Saccharomyces cerevisiae S288C: one gene and its partners. The protein of the gene in region 3 interacts with the protein of the main gene of each other region in a pairwise test. Each region holds a gene or a part of one and is shown on either strand. Other genes may lie near its edges. The genes, in order: NET1, RIO1, TOF2 and FOB1.

Region 1 (5,728 bases), on a different chromosome or scaffold from region 3:
GTTGACTTCCAAACCACCTGTGTGAAGTGACCCGTGGATTCAGAAAATCCGGGATTTGAATAATTATACTTGCTTATCTCCCCGTACCAGGCGTCCACCGCTCCCGTGTCTGTGTAACCAAGGGCAAGGTTCTCACCATATGGGCCATCGGAATGCGTTAAGACACCCGAACAATCATATTGGTCGGCGTAGTTCTGCGCATAGGTGGCCAGAGTGTCGGACCAGGTGAGCGGCGCTGTGTCAACATGTAGCGCTCTGAACTTGTTATGCTCGTTCAGCACATCGCTCTCGAAGTTTGGAAACGTGGTTTGTGCCTTGACGGCTACTAGGCATCCTAGCAGAACTGATATTGGAAACTCCAGCATAAGCGTTTTCGTTTTAAGTTGTTTTAAGTTGTTTGGAGTTGCAGGGGTGCAGCAATTATAATTTTATGCCGATATTGGTTTGGCAACTACCGAAAAGCAAGAAGCTAAAAACTTTGAAGTATAGAATATGTTTTAGAGAATTCTTCGACCGAGTTGAAACATGAGAACTGTTTCATCGGCCCTATATAGCAATTACATCCTTCCGTTGCTGGGTCCCTGCCTAGATACCATATTTGTTGTTGAATTAACCGCGGGAACCCGCAATATACGAAAGACGAACACAAGAGAGCAAGCACACACAGCTAGTGCGTAGCGTTGCTAGCTATATTGCCATGGTACCTACCTTTCACCTCCTTGTTAAATCCATAAGTGGACGGTTTTCCTAAACCAGTATTTATCAGTTCTCGAGCACGCAGAGAAAAGTAAACGAAGCGACCTGCATTGCGGTAACTATAAACACCCAGCCGCCTCCAGCAGAACCAGCCATGTGCGAAGAAAAACAATTTTTCGGCCAAACTTACCAACAATAGCGACGCGTTCCTCACATCGTTGGGTTTTTTTCGCCTCTCTTCAAGTTTCCTATACCCGAGCTTAACACAACACAACGGACCCTCTTAATTAGAGGTATCCTCCGTTCTTTTCTTCCGCTTTCCTAATCGAGATACCAGAGCACGGAACAGGACCCTAGTGCATCGGAGAGGAGATCCGTGGCACGCTCACTGCGCCTTTCACTATCACCGATTTCGTAATTCGAACAGGAGTATTTCGCTGCAGGGGAATTACTGTTTGTAGACGAGGGAAAGCAATTATCAGATACATGCCAGGGATAGCGTTCAAGGGGAAAGACATGGTTAAGGCAATACAGTTTTTAGAAATAGTCGTTCCTTGCCACTGTACGACCTGAACTTTACTCAACGAAAAAAAAATTGGAAAAAAAATAGTGCATAACGTTGCTATTAACAGATGTAGTACTGATATGTCCCTGATTGGTGAAGAGTCAGAATGATATAAGCCTATTTGATATGTACGTGTACGTATTCGAAAATAAGATTTGTTTCTCGTAGGGAGCGATATGTGCATTATGTTACCCGTTCCACATGTTTTGAACTTTTTTTCTTTTTCATGGTAAGCGTCAATAATCAATTTGAATAACTAGTGAAGAGTAGCTAGCACGATGAAATAAGTGCCGGAGCTGATCGAATCCCTAGTCTCGGTTCGCCTGAAACAGAGAGAAGTCGATTACTGTACACCGTGCCTCCTTCTATGTACAAGCTACAAGTGGTCTTGGTGCCTCCGAGTCTTCAGGCGACGATGCCAATACAGTTTGGCTACGGACCAACCATCGCCGAATCTTCTCAATTGTTGCCAAACAGAACTAATATGGCGCAAAGCGCCGGAGATGCCTCTTTGCAGTATGCTAATCTGAGATCTGCCAATGTGAGTTTCACGCCAAGCTATTTCAACCAGTCTAGGTTTAGGAAGTTTCTTTTGTTTACCAAGCCGACAAACACGCTGTTGAACTTGAGTGATGAAATCATCGATAAGTGTGAAAAAATGTACCCGAGTTTGCAAGAAGACATTGAAATTTTGAGTTTGCAAGATAACAGCGGTTGTGACCTTGATCCGGATTTTTTGGTAAAGGACGTTTTCAATGTAAATAATATCGTAAGAGTTATATTGAAGAATGAGATAGATCTGGACGATTCCGCACCAGTGTCACTTTATAAGTCGGTAAAACGATCCAAGTTGAACAACGGGTCGCCCCAGTCGGTGCAGCCGCAACAACAAATCCCGTCCTCTTCAGGTGTTCTTCGGATTGCCAAGAAGAGGCCACCTACAGGAACCACGACAACAACAACCATTCGTAGTGCCACTAATGGATCCATGAGGGTTTCTACCCCATTGGCTAGGCAAATTTATCCTCCACCTTCTTCGAAGATCGTCTCCAACAACTCAGATGACGAAGACGAAGACATTGGTGAAAGATCCTTTTTGCCGCCTCCAACGCAGCCTCAGTCACCTCCCATAAGAATTAGTTCGGGCATTGACGCAGGTAAAAAAATAAAATCAAGCATCGTCGAGGAAGATATCGTGTCCAGATCAGCAACCGTGGATCCAGATAAAACAAAGCAGCAACGTCTATTGTCCGGAACTCCTATAATGTCCACCATGACTCCAAACAGAGTTACTCTTACCGGTCAGAGAGTGGTTTCTGAACACGCACATAAAAACGAATTGGTTTTCTCTGCTTCAGCTTCTTCCTCTTCATTTGCTAATGGTGGCACAGCTGCTGTCACTGCTCAGGACATTAATAGGAAACCACCCGTAACCACTCCAAGAATAACATCAGGAATGTTGAAAATCCCCGAGCCAAGAATCTCAGAGATTGAAAAAGAGTTAAAAGAGGGACCTTCCAGTCCGGCCTCCATTTTACCCGCTAAAGCTGCAAAGATTCCAATGAAAAAACCTTACTTGGAAAATGGCGAGAACTACGAATCCGACGATAGCTCAAGTAGCGAAAACCAAGAAACTCCTGAAACAGAACCACATTCAAAGGCTTCCTTGCAACGTAGTCAAAGCTCCATCGCAGATAATAATGGCTCTCCGGTGAAAAATAGTCCTCTCGGTGATGCCATGCCACACAATGTGCATTTAGCAGAACTTCCCAAGGCAAGCAATACCTCGATCACCAAATCTTCAAATGGCGAATCCTGGGGAAAGCAACAAGAACATCAACCACCAAGAAAGAGTTCACTGGAAACTATAGTGGAAAAGAAATCTCAGGCGGAACCTTCCGGTATTGTGGAACCGAAAAGAATGACTAATTTCCTAGATGATAATCAGGTAAGAGAAAAAGAAGATACGAATGATAAACTTTTAGAAAAGGAAATTTTGCCGACAATTCCACATAATGATCAGCCAATACTTGCATCATCTGATAAGTCTAATGGGACGTTGAAATCACTAGCTGGGAAAGTTAGTTCAAACAACAACGCTTCAAAGGAAGATGGCACTATCATTAACGGCACCATTGAGGACGATGGCAATGATAATGATGAAGTTGATACTACGGTTCGTATTGTTCCTCAAGATTCAGATTCCTCTAGTTTCCCAAAGTCAGATCTTTTCAAAATGATCGAAGGTGATGATACAGATCTACCGCAATGGTTTAAGGGCAAAAATTCGAGAACTTCCGGTAATTCCAAAAATTCAAAGCCTTACACAACGGTTTTGAATAAAGACATAGACAATTCTAAGCCAGATCCAAGAAATATTTTGCCCCAGCGAACCCCAAGAAGTGCGGCTAAGAGGGCTGCCCAATTATTGGCAGGTGCCAAGAAAAACGAAGTCCCACAGAAAAGTACTGAAGATTCTAGTTCGGCAGCGTCCACAGACGATGAGTCAGAGAGTGGGATTGAAACAGATTTCTCATCAGACGATGATTTTAAAAGGAAAAATATGTCGGTGCCTAATAATGGGCCCAAAGACATTTCTTTACATTCTTTGAAAGGCAGTGTTGTTCCAGTGAAAGACTCAAAGATAATCAATAAAGAAGTTGATGAAGAAAGAAACGACAAAAGAGATAGTCAAAAAAAGTCAGCCGTGAGTGAATCTTCAGTAACAAATAGCAAAATAAGTGAACAAATGGCGAAAAGCTTTTATCCGAATTCAAACAAGAAGCAAAATGAAGCTACAAAGGTGGAAACTAAGCCAGCAACACAAGCATCGTCTTTTCCTGTTGTTGGTGGGTCTCCTTCTGTTGCTACTAAAGGAACTACCTCTTTCAATGAAGAAGGAAATCGTAAAAATGTTAAAACGAAGGCCAAGAATGAGTCTGCGCAGATTGATAGGCAGCAGAAGGAAACAACTTCTAGGGTTGCAGATTTGAAAAGCGCAAACATAGGAGGTGAAGACTTGAACAAGAAAGCAGAGGGGTCCAAGGAACCAGAAAAAGCATCTGCCAATATACAGGATGCTAACGATAAAAATAACTCGAAGGAAAAAGAAGACTCCAAAAGCAAACAGGTATCTCAGAAAAAGTTAAAAATGACAGATCACTTAAAAGAAGGCAATGTTCAGCTTCCTAAGCCCAGTGCAAATGATAAATTGAAGGATTTGAAGGCTAAATTTACTAATAGTAAAACACTCGTGCCACCTGGAATAATTTCTAATGAAAAAAATAATTCTAGTGCAAACGATGATGATTCTAGCTCCTCAGGTTCTTCCACAGAAGACGAGTCTAGTTCATCTTCCTCGTCTTCTGATGAGGAAACTTCAACATCCAGGAAGGCTAGAAGAGTTGTTGTAAATACACCAAGAGAACCAGTTAGATCTTCATCTAAGATTGAAGCCCCCTCTCCATCTGTTAACAAAAAAATCAATGCCACCCCTGATAAAATTCCAGTTACACAGCTAATGGACATGTCGTCTCCTCCGTCAGTTAAATCCAAGACCACCTCAAATCCGTCTAGTATACTTCATGACCTTCCAAGAAAAGTTCGTCCTTCTTTGAGTTCATTATCTGATCTTGTTTCAAGAGGCATCCCAGATGTAAAGGAAAAAACTTCTAAATCGAATGAGAAGTCACAAACAAAAGCCCCTTCAAGTAGTGATGATGAATCTAGCTCTGATTCTGACTCTAACTCCAGTTCGGACTCCGTATCGGATTCCAGTTCAGATTCTAAATCTGAGTCAGATTCTGATGACTCAGGGGATTCATCTGATGATGGAAAAAGTTTTATTAGTGCGAAATCCGCTAGTGCTGCTTTAGGTAAGAAGAAGAAGCCAAGTGGTGGATTTGCATCATTAATAAAAGATTTCAAGAAAAAATGATACCAGAAAGTCTCAGTAGAATACACGTCACAGAAAGCTAGTAAAAAAAAATAATCAAGCATATAAAAGTATTAATATATTAAAAAATCTTCATGTAAACCAATTCTTATTTACCTCTTTTCCCAGCAAGCGGGCAACTTCTTTAAGAAAAGTAATCTTTTTTGTACGTCGAATTATCAAAGCTTGGTTACTATATTTAACATTATTGTTTAGTAACAGTATCATCTTAAAAGAAAATTTTTTAAAATTCCAATATAGGAGACAATGGTAATAATTACATACAAATAGCTATTTATGTAAGCAAAACTGATATTTTTATATACAAATCGTTTCAAATATCTCTTAGACTTCAGCGAATTTATTGCTACCTCTAATGAATCCGATTGCTTCTTCTCTATTGACCTCAATAACCGTGGAAATCTTATTCTCGTACTTAACACGGAAAAATTTGTCTGCAACTTGCAACATATCTGTTCTGAACGTCGTACAAATAAACTGGGCATTTTTTGACAGTTCTTTTAGAAGTGTAG
Region 2 (4,010 bases), on a different chromosome or scaffold from region 3:
TTTAGAAATACTGGTTACGGAGGTTCATTAGACCCTGGTTTATTGTCGATGGAAAGAAAGGAGGAAAATTCCCCTTATGAATTGCATTTTTTGATTCAAGATGTTGAGGTATGGGGCTGTGGTGGTGAGAAAGAACTAGAAGAGCAAATCAAACAGTTGGAATGGGAAGAAGCAGAATCTAAAAGAAGACAGCAAATTAACCTGAGAAGCTTGGGAGAAGACCGTGCCTTACTGGAAATGGCAGGTTTAGTTGGCCAACATCAAGGTGGCGGTTCAATGTGATGCCTGCCTTTTTTGCTGTTTTTAGTTATTGGGATTGATTTCACTAAAAATCAAGACCACTAAATAAGGCTATTGTTTATTTTAATATTTATTGCACTTGTATGAAAAGTACCAAACTTTTGATACTGATATTACACTTTTAGTCTTGAACTTTCTTCGTTAAATTGCTGACCTACTTTCTGTTCTTCGACTCCAAACAACGATTCCCAAATGTATTTTCACAGGGCCGCATTATTTCTTTGATTTCGTTTTTTTCACCAATTTTTTCTTGATGTGCTTCTTGACTTTTGTTTTCCTTTTTTCTCTTTTTGCATCTTTAGCTTCCTGCTTGCGCAATTTTTTTAAATCCTTGTCCTCATGTTTCTTCCCCTTTAAAACTTTTGGTTCATCATCGTCATAGTACTCGCCCTCCTCCTCGTCATCTTCTTCAGATCCGCTTGAGCCGTCTTCTTCATCATCTGAGAATTCCTCTGTGCCAGAACTACATTCGTGGTCAGCGTTATCAAATTCAAATTGCTCAGAAGCAGCAAAATTGCGTTCATTATCATGGGCAATCAAGCTTTTCAGTAAGTCAAACTTACCATCAGTATACCTATCAAAATCTCTTTCCTCTAATCCACCCAATGATCTAACTAAATGCAGCGATCTGAATATTTCATCTTCTGCCTCATCTTGTTCTGTAGATTTTATTGGTAGATTACTAGCAATGTATGCAACCAAGGCGCTAATATTGTTATAATCACCTTTAAATTTCTCCAAAGTTTCTGATATGACAAATTGAAAAATAACCCTTTCAGGGAAAATACTTATACCCATCTTCTCGAAATAAAGGTTAACGTTTTTGATATCCATCCTTAAAAAATCTAAACTCATTGGATGTTCAGGTTCCACACTTTGGGAAACATCGATCATATATAGTTTATCATCATGAACTATGGTGTTATACTCTGACAAATCGGCATGAACCAGGCGACAAACTTGGTACAGCAATCTCATATATGCCACCATTGTGTGATAATAATGGAAAATTTCATCACGATTCTTGTACGGATAATCTTTTAATTTAGGTGAGGCAAATCCATTACCTCGGCTTAAAAATTCCATAACTAAGACGTTGTTCTTAACTTCTATTGGCTTAGGAGCTGGAATGACGCCACTTTGATAAATTCTTTTCAGGTTCCTAAATTCCTTTTCAGCCCAAATTTTAATCATTTTCCTTGGATTATGTTGAGATCTGGAATTTCTAAATCTAAATTCACCATCAACATATCTTTCACGATCTTTGAAGACTAGGATAGAGGTCTTATAAATCTTAATGGCATATTCTGCACGGGATCCGTCTGTCTCTAAAACTTCATACTGGCCTGTTTCCTCATCTATTACGGGTGCCTTACCGGTACCTGCAAAAGCGTGGTAAACATTAGCTTCTTTCCCAGTACTTAAGCAACCGTTCAAATCTGCAATCACACCTCTGGTGACCATAGACTTCAAAAATCTCATAGTTCTCGGATCTAAGACATTTTCCACAGTCGCCCTATTTGCTTTATCCTTTGATGTTTTCGCTCTGCTGAATGATAATTCATCAGTTTTTATTTTGTGACTATACTTCTCTAAGAGCTGATTATTAATATGGTCCGAGGCACCTTGCGACACAGACAATGAATCAAATTTATCTTCCAAGGACATGACCTTCTAAAAATAACGGAGTTTGAATCTCTAAATCTGTTTTAACTTCTTTTTACTATTATTTTTAGTCTTAGTATCTCATCTCATCTCAATTTCTATATTCCACTATAAAATTTTTCACTCTTTCTGCGCGCGCCAATGTCCCCGCAACTACTCAATAGGTAACATGAGAATATTTCAGTTCGTAAGAGAGAAGAGATGAAGTTATTTGGGCTCTTTGCTCGAGGTTACAGAAGGGCCGCATTAGAGTGAATGAGCTGATGATATTTCGCCCAGTTCTACATTTTTTTTTTTTTGGAAGTATGACCTCTGTTAAATTTTTTTTTTTTTAAATTTCACTTTCTAAAGTCCCAGAAATCCGCTTGAATGTCTTACATATTGCAATGGATATGCTTGGGTGATCATACTTCCTGGCTTTAGATATTTGAAACTTAACTCTTGTCAACAAACTTCCTATGGAGTGTATAAGAATTGTAAGTTATAACACCGGCGAACAATCGGGGCAGACTATTCCGGGGAAGAACAAGGAAGGGCGGTCTTTTCTCCCTCATTGTCATAGCAAGGTCATTTCGCCTTCTCAGAAAGGGGTAGAATCAATCTAGCACGCAGATTGCAAACACGGCTTAATAATATGCCTATCAGGCATTCACCCGTGTGACGAATCGCACACCGCTGCTCTCCTTAATTCCCTAGAGTAGAAACCGAGCTTTCAGGAAAAGACTACGGCAGTAAAGAATTGCTTTACTGGGCGTATAAAACCGGGAGAATCAAGACATTCTAATGACTTGATTCAGGATGAGAGCTTAATAGGTGCATCTTAGCAAGCTAAAATTTGGACAGCTCTCATTACTAAATTAAGATAGAAAAATGCCTGCTACTTTACATGATTCTACGAAAATCCTTTCTCTAAATACTGGAGCCCAAATCCCTCAAATAGGTTTAGGTACGTGGCAGTCGAAAGAGAACGATGCTTATAAGGCTGTTTTAACCGCTTTGAAAGATGGCTACCGACACATTGATACTGCTGCTATTTACCGTAATGAAGACCAAGTCGGTCAAGCCATCAAGGATTCAGGTGTTCCTCGGGAAGAAATCTTTGTTACTACAAAGTTATGGTGTACACAACACCACGAACCTGAAGTAGCGCTGGATCAATCACTAAAGAGGTTAGGATTGGACTACGTAGACTTATATTTGATGCATTGGCCTGCCAGATTAGATCCAGCCTACATCAAAAATGAAGACATCTTGAGTGTGCCAACAAAGAAGGATGGTTCTCGTGCAGTGGATATCACCAATTGGAATTTCATCAAAACCTGGGAATTAATGCAGGAACTACCAAAGACTGGTAAAACTAAGGCCGTTGGAGTCTCCAACTTTTCTATAAATAACCTGAAAGATCTATTAGCATCTCAAGGTAATAAGCTTACGCCAGCTGCTAACCAAGTCGAAATACATCCATTACTACCTCAAGACGAATTGATTAATTTTTGTAAAAGTAAAGGCATTGTGGTTGAAGCTTATTCTCCGTTAGGTAGTACCGATGCTCCACTATTGAAGGAACCGGTTATCCTTGAAATTGCGAAGAAAAATAACGTTCAACCCGGACACGTTGTTATTAGCTGGCACGTCCAAAGAGGTTATGTTGTCTTGCCAAAATCTGTGAATCCCGATCGAATCAAAACGAACAGGAAAATATTTACTTTGTCTACTGAGGACTTTGAAGCTATCAATAACATATCGAAGGAAAAGGGCGAAAAAAGGGTTGTACATCCAAATTGGTCTCCTTTCGAAGTATTCAAGTAATTGTTTTTGCGTGTTTCTCGTATGATTGTAATATGTAGATAAATTAAACATAAGTATATCAAATGTCGATATTCTTAAGACTGTTTCGTAAATATGTTAAATACCGGATGTGACTACATATAAAAAGTGCGCCTTTTACAGTGATAATTAGCGTCAATCAATAAAATATTTGTAAAATAGGAAGCGAAATCCCGCAGATGCCAGAATAGGTGGTGTATAAGGCAAGAAAACTTTAC
Region 3 (4,598 bases):
TTGCCGCCGTGAATTTTTGACGTCTTGTAGTGCTGTGATATAATTGGACTATAAATCATTACCCGGCCTTTTAAGGCATGAGTGGCGTTCCAACGTGCTGTCAAAACTATGAGACCAAAAACCAAAACACACCCCTAAGAAATGTATAGGGATTTATATCAGCATAAAGGTGCCATAATTAAAGAGATTTAGCCTGAACCCATTACTATTCTGTTACAGTTAAGTACTCATACAGACAGCTAGAAAAAGAAGAAGAAATACCAAGTACAAAGAAAGGAAACCATGTCCAAGTTAGAAACCGTTTACTTATACGCTGGTGAAGAACAACCACGTGTTAAATTGACCTGTATTAAGGAAGGTCTCACTTTAACTCAGGTTATCAAGTTCGTGCATTCTATTCAAGAATTGTACGGGATTGAGTTGCAAACTTCTGAGACCATAACAGAAAATTTGAAGATAGATTGTGCACCCGCATATTTGAAGCCGAATTGTATTCCCCATTTCTACATTCTCGAATATGAAGAAATAAGTGACACCTTTTTCATTTGGAAATCTGATGGTCGTTGGCAATTAAATAAGTTGTCTGCCTTGTTGTACGTGGATAACGACGCTAACGTGGTTAAGAACACTTCCTGGAAGGAGGTTTTCCAGAATGATCAACGATTTAAAAATTATGATAAACGGGCCTGGTTACAAAATTGTCTAGAAAAAATGAATAGAGATCTCTCAAAACTAAACGTTGAACAATTTTGGTCTCAATATGATAAAATATGTCAAAGCATTGCCAAACAAAAGAAAAAACAGGAACAGTTCAACATGGAGGTTTTCGATAACTTCAAAAATATTGTTTCTATTGCTATCATAAAGACCAAAGTTTTATCGAATAAGCGACTTTTGACAACAACTTTAAAAAATTATCATAACTCGATGAAGAAAAAGTATAACATCCAGGAACAAAATCTTAAGGAAAATAGTTTGGCATCGTGCTCAAACAATGAGCCTTCCGCATCTCTGGAAAGCGAATCAAGACATTTTTCTCCGGTAAATTCGCTGTCTCCTTCATCTTTGAGTACCGATGATGAGGCTGTCTCGACAGACTACATCTATAAAGGTCCTGAGTCTAAACCAAACGTGAATTTCATGCATTCAAGTGCTACAAACGATCTGATCAAGTCAAATTTTGAAAGCTATTTTAAATTGATGGCCGAAGACTATGAAACTTTTGACTTGAGAGCCTGGTCGAGACAAAGACCTCGAAAATTTCAGCTTGTGGAAAAAAAAAAAATCACTAAAAACCCTCCTAATAGCCATCATCCGCATAAAAATGGCAAAATATCATTTTAACTATTTCCGGGAAAACATGTCTTTTTATAGCATCTACATCCATTAAATCAAGAGAATAAAAGTAAAACTCCAAAAGTATGTACGTATATAGAACCAATTATTCAATCATTTATAGAAATGTGACCTGTTTTTTCTCTACTATTGTTACATAGGCATCACGAAAAAAAGTCGCATTATACGATACTGTTATATAATTTTTTTCATATTCTTCAGATCTCAAATGCAAGATGGTCCTAATTTGTTTGTTTGTTTATTTATTAGTTTCGCTGAAGAAGGAAAACAAGTCATTTTTGGTTAGCTACCCAATTATACAAGCATTCAATAAATACGCCAATCTTTTGCCACATTTCTTATAATATCCTTTGCCCTCCTTGGTGTTTGGTTCAAATAAGTAAATGATAAAAATGTGGAGGTTACAGATTGTACTGGTGCCGCCAAGTGCTCAAGATATTATCACATTTCTCGAAGCACGCTTGAATACTCCACAATCAGTGTCTCCTATGGTCCAGTATAATGAAGATATAATTACGCACAACAACAGTATCAATAACTGTAGCGACCCCTCTCCTACGAGCCCGTCTTCGCAAAATTCTATTCAGTCGAATCGTAGTAGTGATTTCATTAACTACCTCCCGAATTGTAAAAAGTTTTTACATTTTACGGACGGTGACAATACCCTTTTACAACTATCTAATGAAATTTTAACTAAATTTGATAGACTTTATCCAAATTTCAAAGAATCCATTGAAATCGTATCTCTACAAGATAGGCATGGTTGTGATTTGGACTCTGAATTTATAATAAAAGACGTATTTGAAAATGATGGTGTGGTTTTGGTAATTTTAAAAGATGAATTAGACTGGAGTAGAAATCAACATATTTCACTTTTACAATTGGCAAGACAGCGGAGACGGCAGGACAACAAGCCATCCACAAAATCCATCGTTACTGAAAAGAGAAAAAAGATCTCTAAGGAAGACTTATCTTCTATATCAAATAAAGATACAATGCATCTAATAGCTAAAAGCTCGCTCAAGAATAACTTCATTAATAAATCAAGAGTATCAACGCCGCTAATGAACGAAATTCTACCGCTTGCAAGCAAGTATGATGCACTGAATAAAGAAAAGTGTCCCATGCCACTTACTTCCACAGTAGTGGCATCAAATGTACACAAAGACGTAAAAGATCACGCTCGTGCTAAAGAGGGAGTTGTAACGCAAGGGAGTGATAACAATAAAGAAAATATACCTTCATCCACTCAACAACAGAAAAATGATGGCGCTAAAAGGGCCGAATCAAAGGATTTAGATCTTTTACGCAATTCGTCAGAAGATGCTGATTATGAACCCGCAGATGAAAACTCCCCTCAAATTTCGTTTGATTCGATTGATACCGACTTCCAATTGAGCACTACTTCTCATACTAATTCTGATATGCATATACAATATTCTAACCCCTCTAGTGGTGCTCATAGTCCCAGGAAGAGTTCCTTAGAAATTAAAGTTCAAAACAAAAAAGGTGATGATCTGCCATTGAACGACAAAGATATAGGTGAGAATTGTAGAAGGATAGAAGCATTTTCAGATGAAGAGGATTTTAATGAAACCGATAATGATCGTGCGGATTCGTTTATCAACAATTCTAAGAAGGCATCGATGGGATTTCGGGATATCAATTCCGACTTGGATAGCGTTTCATTCAACAGTGATATTGAAAATGCAGTACAAAGTACTCAAAGTACCAAAAATGTTGTTTCTCCTCCCTTTTTTCCTGAAAAAGAATTGAATAATCGGTTACATCAAAGTCAAGGTAAGGAAGCCCTATTTCGACTTGTTGAGAAGGAGTTTCCTGATAAATCATTGGGTGCTGCGTCATCTACTTCGCATGCAAAAGACGTAAAAATACAAGAAACTATTCGGAAACTAAATAGGTTCAAGCCAACTGGGGAAACTAAGGTCCAAAAAAGGAATAGTATTACGGAACCATATTACGGAAAATTTGGAATAATGAAGAAAGATAAACCCAAATCCATAACTTCAAAAGGGGTAAGTCTGGAAACAAAGCACTTTGATGATCCCAATACCATTATTTCCGGTGAGAAATTCGCAAAATTTGGTAAAATAAAAGTGAAACGAAAAACTGATGATGTTGGATCGAAAGTTATAGAGTTTAAAAGAAAAAGAAATATGGGGAATAGATCCCTAAAAGATATTTTTGCCAATGCTGGGAAACCGCCAAATGCAGCTTCGACCATAAAAGTAGTCAAATTAATGAGAGATCCTGTTGATAATAGTAAAGACAAAGTGGAGGCAACTTCTAATAGTACGGCTCAGGAACAAGAACAAGTCTCACCCAAGTTGCCAGTTATGAATTCAACTCCTGGAAAAAGAAAAAATGGCCAAGCGATACCGTCCAGTTTAGAAAGAACACCGCAGCTCAAGAAAGTCAAGGTTACCAGGTCGCATTCTTCACCTTCTTCTTCTTCTTCCATGTCACTTGAATCTTCATTGGATAGCTCTTCCTCAGATGATTCGGATGATGATTCTGATTCGAGGAACGTGCAAGTTAAAAAAATTAATTTCAAAACAAGTCATGGACCAGCTGGAAATTCTAATGGAAAACCAATGCTGGATGTGGATGACAATGAAATAAATACAAAGAAGTACCAAACACCTAAATATGTTGAAAGTGATGAAGACGACCAGTAAGTCTGTCAGTAATTATGTTGGGATCTCTCAACCATATCTTAAATATTCTTGGCGAATTGTAGTAATTTTTTAGACTGGTTAATGATATCATAATTAAATCTTCAAAAGCAACCAACAAAAGAGAACTAATAGCGTACGGTATGCATCAATTATATATGATTATAACGGACTTTTATTCATGGACGTTTATATCATTCTGGATTATTCGTCATTATTGTTCATTGTTGAACACAATATAAAAAAATATAAAATATGGTTGCTAAGAGATTCGAACTCTTGCATCTTACGATACCTGAGTATTCCCACAGTTAACTGCGGTCAAGATATTTCTTGAATCAGGCGCCTTAGACCGCTCGGCCAAACAACCACTTATTTGTTGAAAATTTTAGAATTCAAGTATACCCAGTCATGTATTAAGTTAATCTTTATGTCATCTTTCTAAACTTTATATGTGTTGGAATAAAAATCCACTATCGTCTATCAACTAATAGTTATATTATCAATATATTATCATATACGGTGTTAAGATGATGACATAAGTTA
Region 4 (4,109 bases), on a different chromosome or scaffold from region 3:
TCTTCAATTGAGTTATCCATAGATTGTCCTATAATACAAGCGCGCATATTCGGATCTGCTATCGGTGATCGATTACCGTGATAGTCACCATAAAAAAACAAGTGCTTAGCTAAAGAAATAACAGATCTTACTTTGCGCTTCTCGACCAAGGTTTCAAGTATTTTGTTTAAATATTCGAATTTCGACACACCTGCCAAATTAGCCATATGGGATAGCTCAGTGAAAGCTGGATGCGTCGTTATTAAATGATCTAAAAGAACGCCTGTACAGCTTTGGCCGCCTTCTGCCGCCCAAAAGCCTCTTGCAAGGACATCTCTATAAGGCCCCCAAACGCCATGGACAAATATAGGGTTTTTTGATAACAAAATATGACACGTAGACGTACCGGCAACAGCTGCCAATCTGCCAATTGCACCATTGAAATCCTTTTTATAATTTTCGGTCTCGGCAAGACCTTTTACTGCTGATTCCGGCTTGGCGGCTACCGTCCCTACCCAGCCTGCATATGCATCAATAATTCCTGAACTTACTACACAATGCTCTGTCAAGCCTAATTGACAGGCAGCCTTTTTATCTAACGGGCTGATACATTCACCTGCGGTCAGAAAGTTTTTTTTTTCCCTTAACGATCCACCCAGTCTTTCAAAATCATTCTTCGTAAGCTCTGAAAGCCCAATTGAATTTAAGAATTCTTTGGACCAGCCTATATCGGAACCTTCGACACCCACTGGTAGAAATCCCTGCTTACAAACAGCAGAACAAAATGACCTATTCTCTTTTCCCGTGGCTTTGAAAGTCAAGTAATCCGGAAGGTCAAAAAACTTACAATCCTGAAAAATTCCAGCTTCTAAGTTGTTCTTCAACCACTTAATCTTCGGAATTTCCATTTCAACAGACATTTGCCCTCCCACATATTTTAAACATTTATCACCAGATGAGTTGATTTCTTCAGTCTCCTTCATCGCCCTATGGTCCATCCATAATATGATATTCTGGTCATTATTGGTAAAATCCGGTCCAACTGCAATTTCTTCAAAATTGGTAGCGGATACGACTACTAAGGAACAAGTCGCATCAAAACCAATTCCACGAACTCTTTCAGGGTCAACTCCTGATTCTTCAACAACAGTTCTAACACAATAGCAAACTGCATTCCAGATTTCTCTTGAAGACTGAGTAATAAAATTGGATATCAATTGTTCCCTTTTTATGGGTTTTTCTGCTAGCGACAACATGTTACCAGATTGATCGATAACACATGCCCTTGCAGAGCCTGTTCCGACATCTACACCAACGTAGAATTTTGCTTCTGGATCTTGTGGAGAAATGCGAGAAATCGAGGTTTCCTGTGACGACAATACCGCTGGCTCCCGTGTTTCATTTTGCATATTGTTTTGGCGTTTCCTGCTTTTCATATAGCCTTAATAATGTACTTTGCAGATGTTTGTTCCTTCGTCTCTTTACATCTTTTCATTGTACTCAGCGGTCTGGGTGTGCAGCTTTCCACATTTACTAATACTGGTCTGTAGCATTTAGTCAAACGGGTGTTATAAAGGTTCAATTTCTTCATCATACCTAACATTGTGATCGAGGTTTCCAGGAAGAGCTTATATATATCAAAACAAGAAACCCAGAGTATCTTTACCCCCACATTCAATATGAGGTGTCAGCCATAATTATTTACATGATAATACTGATATTTTTTCTTTTTCGCGATATATTGAAAAGAAAAAAAAATTGCGAGGTGATTCCTCATCGCATGTATTCATTTTAACGACATTGAATTAAGCCTTCAGGGGGGAGAACAATTTAACGATTGTGTGAGTGTGAATTTGTGCTGAGGATAACAATGACGAAACCGCGTTACAATGACGTGTTGTTTGATGATGATGACTCGGTACCATCAGAATCAGTTACGAGGAAATCGCAGAGAAGAAAGGCAACGTCACCTGGGGAATCAAGAGAGTCCTCAAAAGATCGTCTACTGATACTTCCCTCTATGGGGGAATCATATACTGAGTACGTAGACTCTTATTTGAACTTAGAATTATTGGAAAGGGGAGAAAGAGAAACACCAATCTTTCTTGAATCTCTGACAAGACAACTAACGCAGAAAATATATGAACTAATAAAAACAAAATCTTTAACTGCAGATACCTTGCAACAAATAAGTGATAAATACGATGGTGTAGTGGCAGAAAACAAGCTGTTATTTTTGCAAAGACAGTATTATGTTGATGATGAAGGAAATGTTAGAGATGGCCGAAATAATGATAAAATATACTGTGAGCCAAAGCATGTATACGACATGGTGATGGCAACACACTTGATGAATAAGCATCTTAGGGGTAAAACATTACATTCCTTTTTATTTTCTCATTTTGCCAATATTAGTCATGCCATCATCGATTGGGTCCAGCAATTTTGTTCAAAATGTAATAAAAAGGGCAAAATTAAACCATTGAAGGAATATAAACGTCCTGACATGTACGATAAACTACTACCAATGGAAAGGATACATATTGAGGTATTCGAACCCTTCAATGGAGAAGCTATTGAGGGAAAATATTCTTATGTCCTTTTATGCCGAGACTATCGCTCTAGTTTTATGTGGTTATTACCACTTAAGAGTACCAAATTCAAACATCTTATCCCAGTTGTTTCCTCACTTTTTTTAACATTTGCTAGGGTTCCAATTTTCGTAACATCAAGCACTTTAGATAAAGATGATCTTTATGATATTTGTGAAGAAATTGCATCAAAATACGGTCTCCGTATTGGCTTGGGTTTGAAGAGTTCTGCGAGATTTCATACTGGGGGTATACTGTGCATTCAGTATGCTCTAAATAGTTATAAGAAGGAATGTCTAGCCGATTGGGGTAAGTGCCTAAGATATGGCCCTTACAGATTCAACCGAAGGAGAAATAAGAGAACGAAACGTAAACCTGTGCAAGTACTACTTAGTGAAGTTCCAGGTCACAATGCCAAGTTTGAGACTAAGAGAGAAAGGGTTATAGAAAACACATATTCCCGTAATATGTTCAAGATGGCAGGTGGAAAAGGTCTTATATATTTGGAAGATGTCAATACTTTTGCCCTTGCTAATGAAGCGGATAATAGCTGTAACAATAATGGAATTCTTCATAATAACAATATAGGAAATGATAACTTTGAAGAAGAAGTGCAAAAACAATTTGATCTAACTGAAAAAAACTATATCGATGAGTATGATGATTTGGCACATGATTCTTCAGAGGGCGAATTTGAACCTAATACCTTAACTCCCGAAGAAAAGCCTCCTCATAATGTCGATGAGGACCGAATAGAGTCCACCGGCGTGGCAGCCCCAATGCAGGGAACAGAAGAGCCTGAAAAAGGGGATCAAAAAGAAAGTGACGGTGCATCACAAGTAGATCAAAGTGTCGAAATAACTAGACCAGAAACTTCCTACTATCAAACTCTGGAATCGCCGTCAACAAAACGACAGAAATTAGACCAACAGGGTAATGGAGATCAAACAAGAGACTTTGGCACATCAATGGAATTGTAATAATATGTAGGATAGAATGAAAGGAGGAGTCACCATAGGTGAAAAAAAAAAGCACCTATTGCATATAAAGTATTCAAAAAGGTGTTGAAAGCTCTTCCTGTATATGACCCTGTATTTAATGTACGCGGTTAAAAAATTTTTATATTTTTAAATAAGTATCAACTTGGATAATATGATCTTGCCCGCAAGGTGGTTTTATATGAATAATTACTTTTTTTTTTTTTTTTTTTTTTTTTTTTTTTTTTTAATTGAACAATAGATGCAGAGGAATGCTCCAAAATTTATTTCCTTGAACAATATTACAAGAGGCAGATATATACTTTTCCTTATTTCCCTTAGTAAAGAATGATGCATGTATACTATTACAAATTTAAACTTCACCCCCACCATGGATGCAAAACAAATAGAAAGCCATTATCATTAGTTTTTTTTTTTCATTCAATTACGATACTTGCTGAAGAAATCTTGATGAAATTCTTTCCAGTCTTGAATCCATTTAGTCCCTGGAGCCAAAAACGTTGTTCGCACATGATAAGTCCCGGGTCTTTGTCCGAACCCA

What was found.
Region 1: the proteins of TOF2 (region 3) and NET1 interact in binary tests that used the Saccharomyces cerevisiae proteins (3 or more experiments, as listed by UniProt).
Region 2: the proteins of TOF2 (region 3) and RIO1 interact in a two-hybrid assay, tested with the Saccharomyces cerevisiae proteins (one study listed by BioGRID).
Region 4: the proteins of TOF2 (region 3) and FOB1 interact in a two-hybrid assay, tested with the Saccharomyces cerevisiae proteins (one study listed by BioGRID).

Annotation. Positions count from the first base shown.
Region 1 is NC_001142.9:293,617-299,344, forward strand, and holds NET1 (Net1p), read left to right. Parts: upstream 1-1,628; coding exon 1,629-5,198; downstream 5,199-5,728. Other genes in the region: PRY3 (Pry3p), read right to left, coding at 1-365; YJL077W-B (uncharacterized protein), read left to right, coding at 431-529; ICS3 (Ics3p), read right to left, coding at 1,050-1,445; YJL077W-A (uncharacterized protein), read left to right, coding at 1,183-1,269; APQ13 (Apq13p), read right to left, coding at 4,844-5,260; cohesin subunit SMC3, read right to left, coding at 5,541-5,728. UniProt on the Saccharomyces cerevisiae protein: Has a role in chromosome maintenance and is involved in mitotic exit. Inhibits the action of CDC14 by sequestering it in the nucleolus. Also binds to RNA polymerase I and stimulates rRNA synthesis.
Region 2 is NC_001147.6:548,279-552,288, forward strand, and holds RIO1 (protein kinase RIO1), read right to left. Parts: upstream 1,969-4,010; coding exon 514-1,968; downstream 1-513. Other genes in the region: RTC5 (Rtc5p), read left to right, coding at 1-282; glycerol 2-dehydrogenase (NADP(+)) GCY1, read left to right, coding at 2,836-3,774. UniProt on the Saccharomyces cerevisiae protein: Required for the final endonucleolytic cleavage at site D converting 20S pre-rRNA into the mature 18S rRNA. Required for the final steps of cytoplasmic maturation of the 40S ribosomal subunit.
Region 3 is NC_001143.9:458,381-462,978, reverse strand, and holds TOF2 (Tof2p), read left to right. Parts: upstream 1-1,739; coding exon 1,740-4,055; downstream 4,056-4,598. Other genes in the region: chromatin-associated RNAPIII regulator FPT1, read left to right, coding at 283-1,344.
Region 4 is NC_001136.10:674,253-678,361, forward strand, and holds FOB1 (replication fork barrier binding protein FOB1), read left to right. Parts: upstream 1-1,849; coding exon 1,850-3,550; downstream 3,551-4,109. Other genes in the region: YDR109C (putative phosphotransferase), read right to left, coding at 1-1,415; alanine transaminase ALT2, read right to left, coding at 3,989-4,109.